Kluyveromyces lactis: one gene and its partner. The main gene of each other region encodes a partner of the protein of the gene in region 2 in a complex. Links are inferred from orthologs where the notes say so. Each region holds a gene or a part of one and is shown on either strand. Other genes may lie near its edges.

Evidence for each region. Proteins that work in one complex are often made in the same cells at the same time.
Region 1: SPC19 (region 2) and DAD4 share a complex: the UniProt entries of both Saccharomyces cerevisiae proteins name them as parts of the DASH complex. The link is inferred for Kluyveromyces lactis from reciprocal best matches to the Saccharomyces cerevisiae genes SPC19 and DAD4.

The regions. Positions count from the first base shown.
Region 1 is NC_006039.1:1,464,572-1,468,562, forward strand, and holds DAD4 (Dad4p), read right to left. Parts: upstream 1,857-3,991; coding exon 1,638-1,856; downstream 1-1,637. Other genes in the region: ENT1 (epsin), read right to left, coding at 1-481; snoRNP complex protein NOP10, read left to right, coding at 1,243-1,416; oxysterol-binding protein related protein OSH3, read left to right, coding at 2,412-3,991. UniProt on the Saccharomyces cerevisiae protein: Component of the DASH complex that connects microtubules with kinetochores and couples microtubule depolymerisation to chromosome movement; it is involved in retrieving kinetochores to the spindle poles before their re-orientation on the spindle in early mitosis and allows microtubule depolymerization to pull chromosomes apart and resist detachment during anaphase.
Region 2 is NC_006040.1:1,583,586-1,587,897, forward strand, and holds SPC19 (Spc19p), read left to right. Parts: upstream 1-2,807; coding exon 2,808-3,269; downstream 3,270-4,312. Other genes in the region: lipoyl(octanoyl) transferase LIP2, read left to right, coding at 1-987; KLLA0_D18799g (uncharacterized protein), read right to left, coding at 1,059-2,462; RAV2 (Rav2p), read right to left, coding at 3,304-4,312. UniProt on the Saccharomyces cerevisiae protein: Component of the DASH complex that connects microtubules with kinetochores and couples microtubule depolymerisation to chromosome movement; it is involved in retrieving kinetochores to the spindle poles before their re-orientation on the spindle in early mitosis and allows microtubule depolymerization to pull chromosomes apart and resist detachment during anaphase.

The sequences.
Region 1 (3,991 bases), on a different chromosome or scaffold from region 2:
CACGTCTATTCTTCCTACCACCACGTTTCCTCCCCTTAAGCCTCATCATCCGTTCCTCCTTCAACCTCTCCTCGTCCCGTAATAACGCCGTCAACTCTTTCGCCTTCACTCTGACAATCTCACCGTTATCGATCTCGGTAAACTCATCGGTGTGTGTAAACTCACGCAACGTCTTAATAATGTAAAGGTTCTCTTTACACCAGAACACACAGTTCTCTGATCCGCATCTCACCAAGAAATCTAGACACGTTAGTGACTTGGCGACATGTCTCCAGTTCCGGCCTTTATCGTTTAATCTCTTGTCCAACATATCCATGATCTCGAAAAATTCCACGTTATCAAATGTCCTTTCAGCCAACTCTTCCAACTGATCAACGGACGGACCGTCCTTATCGTTAGAAGTGGCACTTCTAACGAGAACCTGAGCCTGAGAGTACCCATTGACTAAATTCTTTGCACTACGAAGAAATGCTTTGGACATCGTATAAATTTATCTGATCTCTTTAGTTTCTCGTAGAACTTACGAACCGAAACTCCTATATTACTGTTAATTTCGTTTTCAACACGATATACAACCTTCCGCTGTTTTCAACACAGGACCAAAATATATTATTCTTATCAGTGACAAGCCCTATGTCTATATCAAATTAAAGCTTTAATAGTCAATGTCTGTTCCTGTTCCTATTCCTATTCCTATTCCTATTTCTATTTCAATTTCAAATTTCGTTTTCGTCTTTTTTCATTTTTCCTTTGAAAGTTCCAGTTCCAGTTCCAGCTTCAGTTCCTGTCATAAAAACACTCATAGTAAGCAGGGTCCTTAACTATGTGTGGAAATGAGACCCCTTTTTTATAGGAGAGTGGCCGGGTAATACAAATAAAATACAAATAAAATACACACAGGTCACGTGAACACCCGATTACAAAAGTTTATCAATCAATCGATCATTGGAACCGATCCAGCCTCCTTCGTTTTACACGTGACTAGAAAAAGATAATCAAAACACATATCGCTACTTACGTTAGAGAATATATCATCAGATCACATGATACGAACTGGAATATTTCTTTTCCATCAAGTGCATCTGCTAAATTTTCAAAGAGATATAATCAGTTTTTCAACATAGCATTAACTAACTGATCGGTATAGCTCATCGCTTGAAAGAAAGTGTCTTGTTATCCATATATCTAGTTCCTTTTCACTTCCAACCAAAAGCATCTATCACACTCTACCCACTACCCACTATGCATTTGATGTACACTTTGGATGCCCAAGGCAAGAGAATCTATACTTTGAAGAAGATGACTGAGGATAATGAAATTACAAAGTCTGCTCACCCTGCTAGATTCTCTCCAGATGACAAATACTCCAGACAAAGAGTTACTTTGAAGAAGAGATACAACCTTTTGCCAAACTAAGGTCCCTACAAGTTGGAACACAATCCGCAGACAAAATTGCACCGGTTAAAACTCACTGAACATGAACAAAAAAAATTAATCCATTATTATCTGTAAATTAGAATCAGTACGGTCCTGAAACCGACTATAAAAAGGCGTATGTATATACGTACATACTACATCACTTAAGTAACTGCTTTTTTTTTTTAATAAATTCTTCTCGTTAGAATATATGTGAGACCTTACAATGGGTCCTGTTTCTTGGAAGTTGCCTGCAACTGGAAATCAACAGATTCTCTATAGTTCTCACACATTTGTGACATCAGTTCCAAATTCTTATTCTTGGTGTTTACCCTTCGAAGCTCTTGGTTTAGTATCACTACACTCTGGTTCAACCTTTCGACATTGCCAATGATTCTAGCCAGAATATTGCTTTGAACTTTCTCATACGGGTTTTCCATGGTATGTATCACAAATATAACTGATGACGGATAGTTATACACCAGTTTTGTAGCCTCTAGTGCCTGTGTTTTCCTTGTGGTTTACATTTTTGACCGATGTTTTGCATTTGAATACATGTTGGATGCTATTATAAACCTTTTTTTTTTTTTTTTTAAATGATGAAAATTAGTACCTGCCCCAAAGCAGCTTCTCAGTGAAAATGAATTAAAAAAAAGCTTGAGTATAATAAACTAAACCTTTAATTTGAAGTAAACAAGGATCCAAATTTCATCTATAACAGACTTCTAGTGTGCGTTTCGAGCTTTTGGCGGGCATCATATATCAATTTGGTGATAATTGCTGGTAACGGATATTGTCAGTTAAATTTCACCTGTGAATAATTACCATTCTTACTGCGTGCCTATCAGGTGTTTGTTGATCTTTTCCCCTGGTTAATCTCTCTTATTCAGAATTGATTTTTCAGCGAATAACCGACCGATAAAGGTAGATTGGAACGTCTACTTAGTTTCGAGAGTGATTCAATTGTAACTATTAAATTTTTTTCGGCATCAAACATGGATACTATTGACGTTCAAAATAAATCATTTGTTGTGCGTTGGCAGAAAGTTTCTCAAGGTGATATAGTTTCGTTTCGGTTGAAACCTTTGAAAAAATCGATAGGGTTTGGTATATACAGACGGTTTGGTGGATCATCCACGACTGATTTGAGTGAAACAAACCATGGGAGTGTAAAAGCTTCTTCGAATAGTAATACTAATCCGTTAATTCGAATTTCAACCGATGCCAAGCCTAACGTTGCCTTGGCAGATCACGAAAAGGACAAAAACGTGCCGTTGCAAACAAGGTTAGCACAAAGCGGTCTGGAAAAGGTGACCTGGTATGGGACCATTTCTAACAACGATACCGTTGCCGAATCGTTCGAATCAACTTGTGAGAGTTGTTATTACGCGTTCATTTTAGACAATACTACTTCGAAGCAGACTAAGAAAAAATGTTTATTTTCGGTGAGTATCAACCCTAGTGCATCGGCAATGGAAGGTTTGGATGACGATCAGGAATCCGTCATTTCAAACCAAGAGGAAAGCTTTGGTGCCAATGGGACGAATGGCAAGCGACCTTTGAATTATAGCCAAACGTCATTCAAGGATCCATCTTTGTCCTCATTAGCAAAATCGAATTCCAATCCATTTGCGCCATCTCCAGGCCAGACTACTCCAAGCACAATTTCCAACGTGGGTACATCTAACGGACCAAACACTAATTCTCCAGTGCCAATAAAACCACTGAGTCCAAGTTCTACATCCGCGACAGATCACGATTTGAAAAACAGTAAAGGATTCCAAGGATATTTACTAAAAAAGAAGAGAAAGAAGCTACAAGGTTTTACCAAACGGTTCTTTAAACTCGATATAAAATTTGGGATTCTCTCATATTATCTCAACTCTAAATCTCCTGTGTGTCGTGGTGAGATTGTTGTCCCACTTTCATCAATAAGTGCAAATAAGCAAACTAAACTTATTATCATTGACTCAGGCATGGAGATCTGGGTCATGAAAGCTCGTGACGAAAAAGATTGGGAACTTTGGATTTCAATGATCGAGTCATGTTTCAAACAAGACGCCCCAACTACTTCGCAAGATCACGAATCGCATAACGTTGTCATTCCTCCTGATAATGATACCACAGCATTTTTCCGCAATTTAACATCCCTAAGGAAAAGAATAGAAGAATGCAAGTATCAATCTTTATCCTATTCTAACTACACACCTAACGCAATAGTATCTCCCATTCAGGGCCCTCCGACATCTTCAAAGCAACAGAGGAATGTGTCACGGTCCTCGTCTGTTTCTTCATTCATGAACTCCTTTTCTAGGCAACGGAACGGTTCATTTGTAGAACAAGCTACCTCAGGCCATGATACTTCGATCTTATCTAATAATCCCAACGAGCCTCAACATCATGACTTATATAGAAAGCTAGCTGATTTGGAGAAAATTGCCAAGCAACTTGATATTGATGGTAAGATGTTAGCTACTAAATGGGTTCCCAGATCGCCAACTGCTTCCATCTTTTCAGATGACGAATATTTCGATGCAAATGAAGAACCTATCATCACGATGTTAAATGACGATGT
Region 2 (4,312 bases):
ATGCTGATAGGTACTAATTACTGGTACCCTTCAAAATTTGGATGTACAATTTTCCGTAAAGTCCGGTTTCAATCCACTCTGAAATGCACATCAACCGCCCGTACGCAACCAATTGATCCTTCAGCTAAAACAATCAGACACTTGCAATTCGTTAAAGAGATCCCATTTGAAACGGGGATCGATATTCAGGAGAAATTTGTACGCGCTCATCTTGACATTAAGCAACTACAATCCAAGATAAAGAGAGAAATGACAAACTTACAAAAAGAACATAATGCCGAGATACAATTGAATTTTCACGAACAAATGATACTAGATAATATCAATCAGATGAAGCCAAATCCAATTGTGCTTACATTTCAATTTGAACCCACTTATACTGGCGGAAAACGTGTTAAGAAACAAATTACGGATGAACAGATCGCCAGATATGAAGGCTTTATTCCATCAAAACAGAAATATAATAAAAAACCCAAATTTGTGCAGGCTGAAAGAGGTGGCCAAGTGACGTTTCATGGTCCAGGGCAAATAGTCGCATACATCATTCTCGATTTAAAGACATTTCAGAACTTGCCGGCCAAATGCTTAGTTTCAACTATTGATAACGCGGCCATGAACGCATTAAAAGTAGTTCCAAAATTCCAAGGATCAGATGAACCATTGAATTTAATTACCCAAAAAACCAATGATACCGGCGTTTGGGTCTCTAATCAAGAAAAAATTGCCAGTATTGGCATACATGTCAGAAGATCTGTCACCTCACATGGTATTTGTATTAACGTTGACCCAGACTTGTCTTATATGAACAGTTTTACCATGTGCGGGCTGTCAGAAAAAAAAGCCACTTCCATAAGAGAACAAGTCCCTGATAGTTCTACCTCTGTTAATGATGTAGCAGTTGCATTCGTGAATCAATTAGCTAAACTTTTGGGCATTACCACAGTAGAGAGAATTCAACTTGATGATTTACCCATTTACACTGATTAGACGCATCACCCGTAGTCTGCAAGAAATGCTTAGATTAATTTTTACTTTAAGAATGATATTTATGATTAGTTTTACTTTGTTGCATATTTAAACACAGCAGCCAAAGCCCCTGCCGAGATAGAACTTAATAAAAGCAAGTTGGTTGTAGTACTGGGTAATTTACTACCTGTTGATACAGCTGGTAATTGTGCAGTACCATCGTCTTTCGTCTTTACCGGTTTTGACTTTGCTTGTTGTAATTGGGTATTTTTAAATATTTCGACCTCAAGACGTGTCTGTAATTCATCAACTTCACTTTTTAGCTGTTTGATCTTAGTATTTTTCAAGTCATTATTTTCCTTTAGGGAGTCATTAAGCTTCTTATTTTCTTGTTTTAATGCCTGTATTTCTTCATTATGGATGGTGGTTAGTTCTGCCTGTTGATTCGCAAGCTTCTGTTTAACGCTTTTCTGAAGTTTGACTAGTTGTGAGTCCGCTTGCTCCATTTTCATCTTTGATAGATATTCAAGCTTTGTAATATAATTAACGATGAAATTGTCAATCGATTTCAACTTTTCATATTCCAACTTTTCAAGTGTTAGATCTGTCACTAAGGTCTTGATGATATTAATCAAATTCGGACTTGTTCCGATAGAATTGTTTATAAATATTCCACTCAATATTTCCGTTTCAGACCCCAATACAGCATCTTCGAGGTCAAGATTATTTACATCTCCGAACATGGCGGCTTCGAACGCAGCTTTTTGAGCAGTTGTTATCGTGACCATTGGGTCTGGAATCCCATTGTTTGCAGGTGTACTCCTGAAATCTCGTTTATTTGATACTAGTAGTTTATCGTTTTCGCCAATCAACGGTATCACTGAAATGTCCTCCACTAATGCACTTATTTTACGATGTTCAAGCTTTGTGTCTATATCCGTCCCTAAATCTATCACATCCCCCACTTTGATTTCAACATCAGTTTGACCGATCCTACTACCATTCACGAAAGTACCATTAGATGATTTCAGATCACGTATACATATTTTACCAGTTTTAGCATCACACGATAACGATGCATGGTTTCTTGAAAGCACTCTAGAATCAAAATTTCCATTATCAGCTTTCACCTGTGGATCAGCTTTGCCGGAAAGTCCTCCGTTACTTCCAGAATTTGAAGCTCCAATGACAGGTCGTCCCAATTTTAGTCCACTGGGCTTGAATGGAACTACTAAGAATTTAGTCTCAAATGTGTTGTTCAACGATTTTAGAACCAAAACATGTGTGTATTTGTTTCTGGCCTGTGTTCTCTCATCTTCAGCGGAAGTCAGTTTATTAAGAGCGTCATTACTTGAATTCAAACAGTTGTCATTCGAAGAACCGTTGCTGCTTGAGTTGGAACGAGCTCTTCTTCCTTTTGTTTTTGATGTGCTTGTGTTATCGTTACTCTGGTTTGCTGAAAGAGGATCCAATCGACTTCCTTGTTTCTCAGTCATATTCACTGCTTATAAGAACCCAATTAAACCATATGCAAAAAAAGGTAGTGCAAAGTGCAAGTTCTTATTCGGCTTCTGATTCACTTCAATGGAGAGACTGCCTCGTAGCAAATACTGCTGAAGCTGCTTTACCACTTCTGTGAAGATAATACTAAAATCATGAAACTGAGAAAAGAATGGACTTAATTTCAATCACAATTATTTTAATTCACCACATAGAAAAGAGGTAAACAAACATTACGCAACATACACATGAAAACACAACACTTCACATAGATCGGCAGGATTGTAATTGGATAACGCACTGTGATAATTTGGCATTGTTATTTGAGCTGATTTGACACAATGGAAGAGGTACTTTCGGAGGGTGTAGATGCTTTAGCAGCATGTGTCGATGACATGGCGAAATGTTTAACCGTATCTAAGGTCACTACAGATAGAAGCACTAAACTTGCTATAAATATGCTACAAACTAAGAGGGTATTCCAGTTGGTATCAGAATATGATGTGCAGAGGGCCAGACTTGATTTGATGGAGGATATAGAACCATTGTTACAAAAACTATATAGTAAACTGGAAAAAGCTCTAACCAAATTGGAAAGGGAGCGGGCCACTCTATCACAAACATTCGAATTGAATAAACTACGATTCAACAATCAAGAAAGTAACCCCATCATAGATAATGTGAAATCGGATCCAGTTGTAATAGTATCCTCGACACATGAAGAATTGGAACGTCTCAAAGACTTAAAGAATCGTAAAGAAGAACTGATACAAAGAATACAGGAATTGCATGAAGAGAGATAAATAAGCATACGCCGACTCTCTATCTATCGCATTGTTAACTTAAATTTTGAATATTTACAAAGTGATTGCTGATTTTGTTTTCAAGCCCGTTCAACTTTGCACTGACACTAATCAATGTAGGATCGCTGGTGGTAATTGAAACTTTCTCGCATTCAGTGACAACTCGCCCGTTAAATGTCACACACCTAGCCAATAGATCGCTTGCTTGCGGAAGAGTGATTCTTTCAGTTGCTGAAAAACTGGATATCAAATTGTTTATCATAGATGTTTGTTCAACTTGCAAGCCTTCTTCCTTAAGGATCTCTGCGATTTTTCCATTTCTGTCTTGCTTCAGCCTGTCTCTGACTTTATCACTGAATGATAACCCAGTTTTCGAATCGATCTCACTCCAGGGTTTTTTAATGACTTTTGTCAAATTCCTAATGTCCAAGCAAATCTCGTTTTTGAATAGCACTAATTCCATATTGACCAAATGATGTGCTGATTCACAAATGTCATGAGATTCAGAGAAGTTGTCGTTTAAGAAGCTGTTGTTATTATGCGGAAAGACCAATTCTCGTGGAGGATTTTGTAATAATGTAATAGATTGTGTAAGTAACTCCAATATTTTCCCAATTTTATTGTGAAAAGTATGAATATCATCAAGTTTCATATCGTGTAATTCGGAAAGTTGCTGTAATTCGTCAAATAAGGACAATACGGATGATAAATTTGTAATTATGGCATTTATTTGAACTAAGGGAAATTGTTTATCAAGGTCCATCTTTAGAACTATTGGTTTACCCCTGCTAAAGTCTGGAAGCTTAATGATAGCCTGAAAATCCACTATAAATCCGGCCTGTCTAGTGATTGTCCCTTTAATCGATGTGCTGTCTGGCGCGGCACCTGATGTGTTAACGGAGACACTATTCCCATTGGTAAGAGGCATTCGAAATTTCTCAGGACTAGATAGTTGGTTTATGCATTTCTCAACATGGTCCATAACGTTAGGTAGCTCAGGCTTTATGATTTCTTTAATCAACCATGTCTGTTGTAACAAAGAG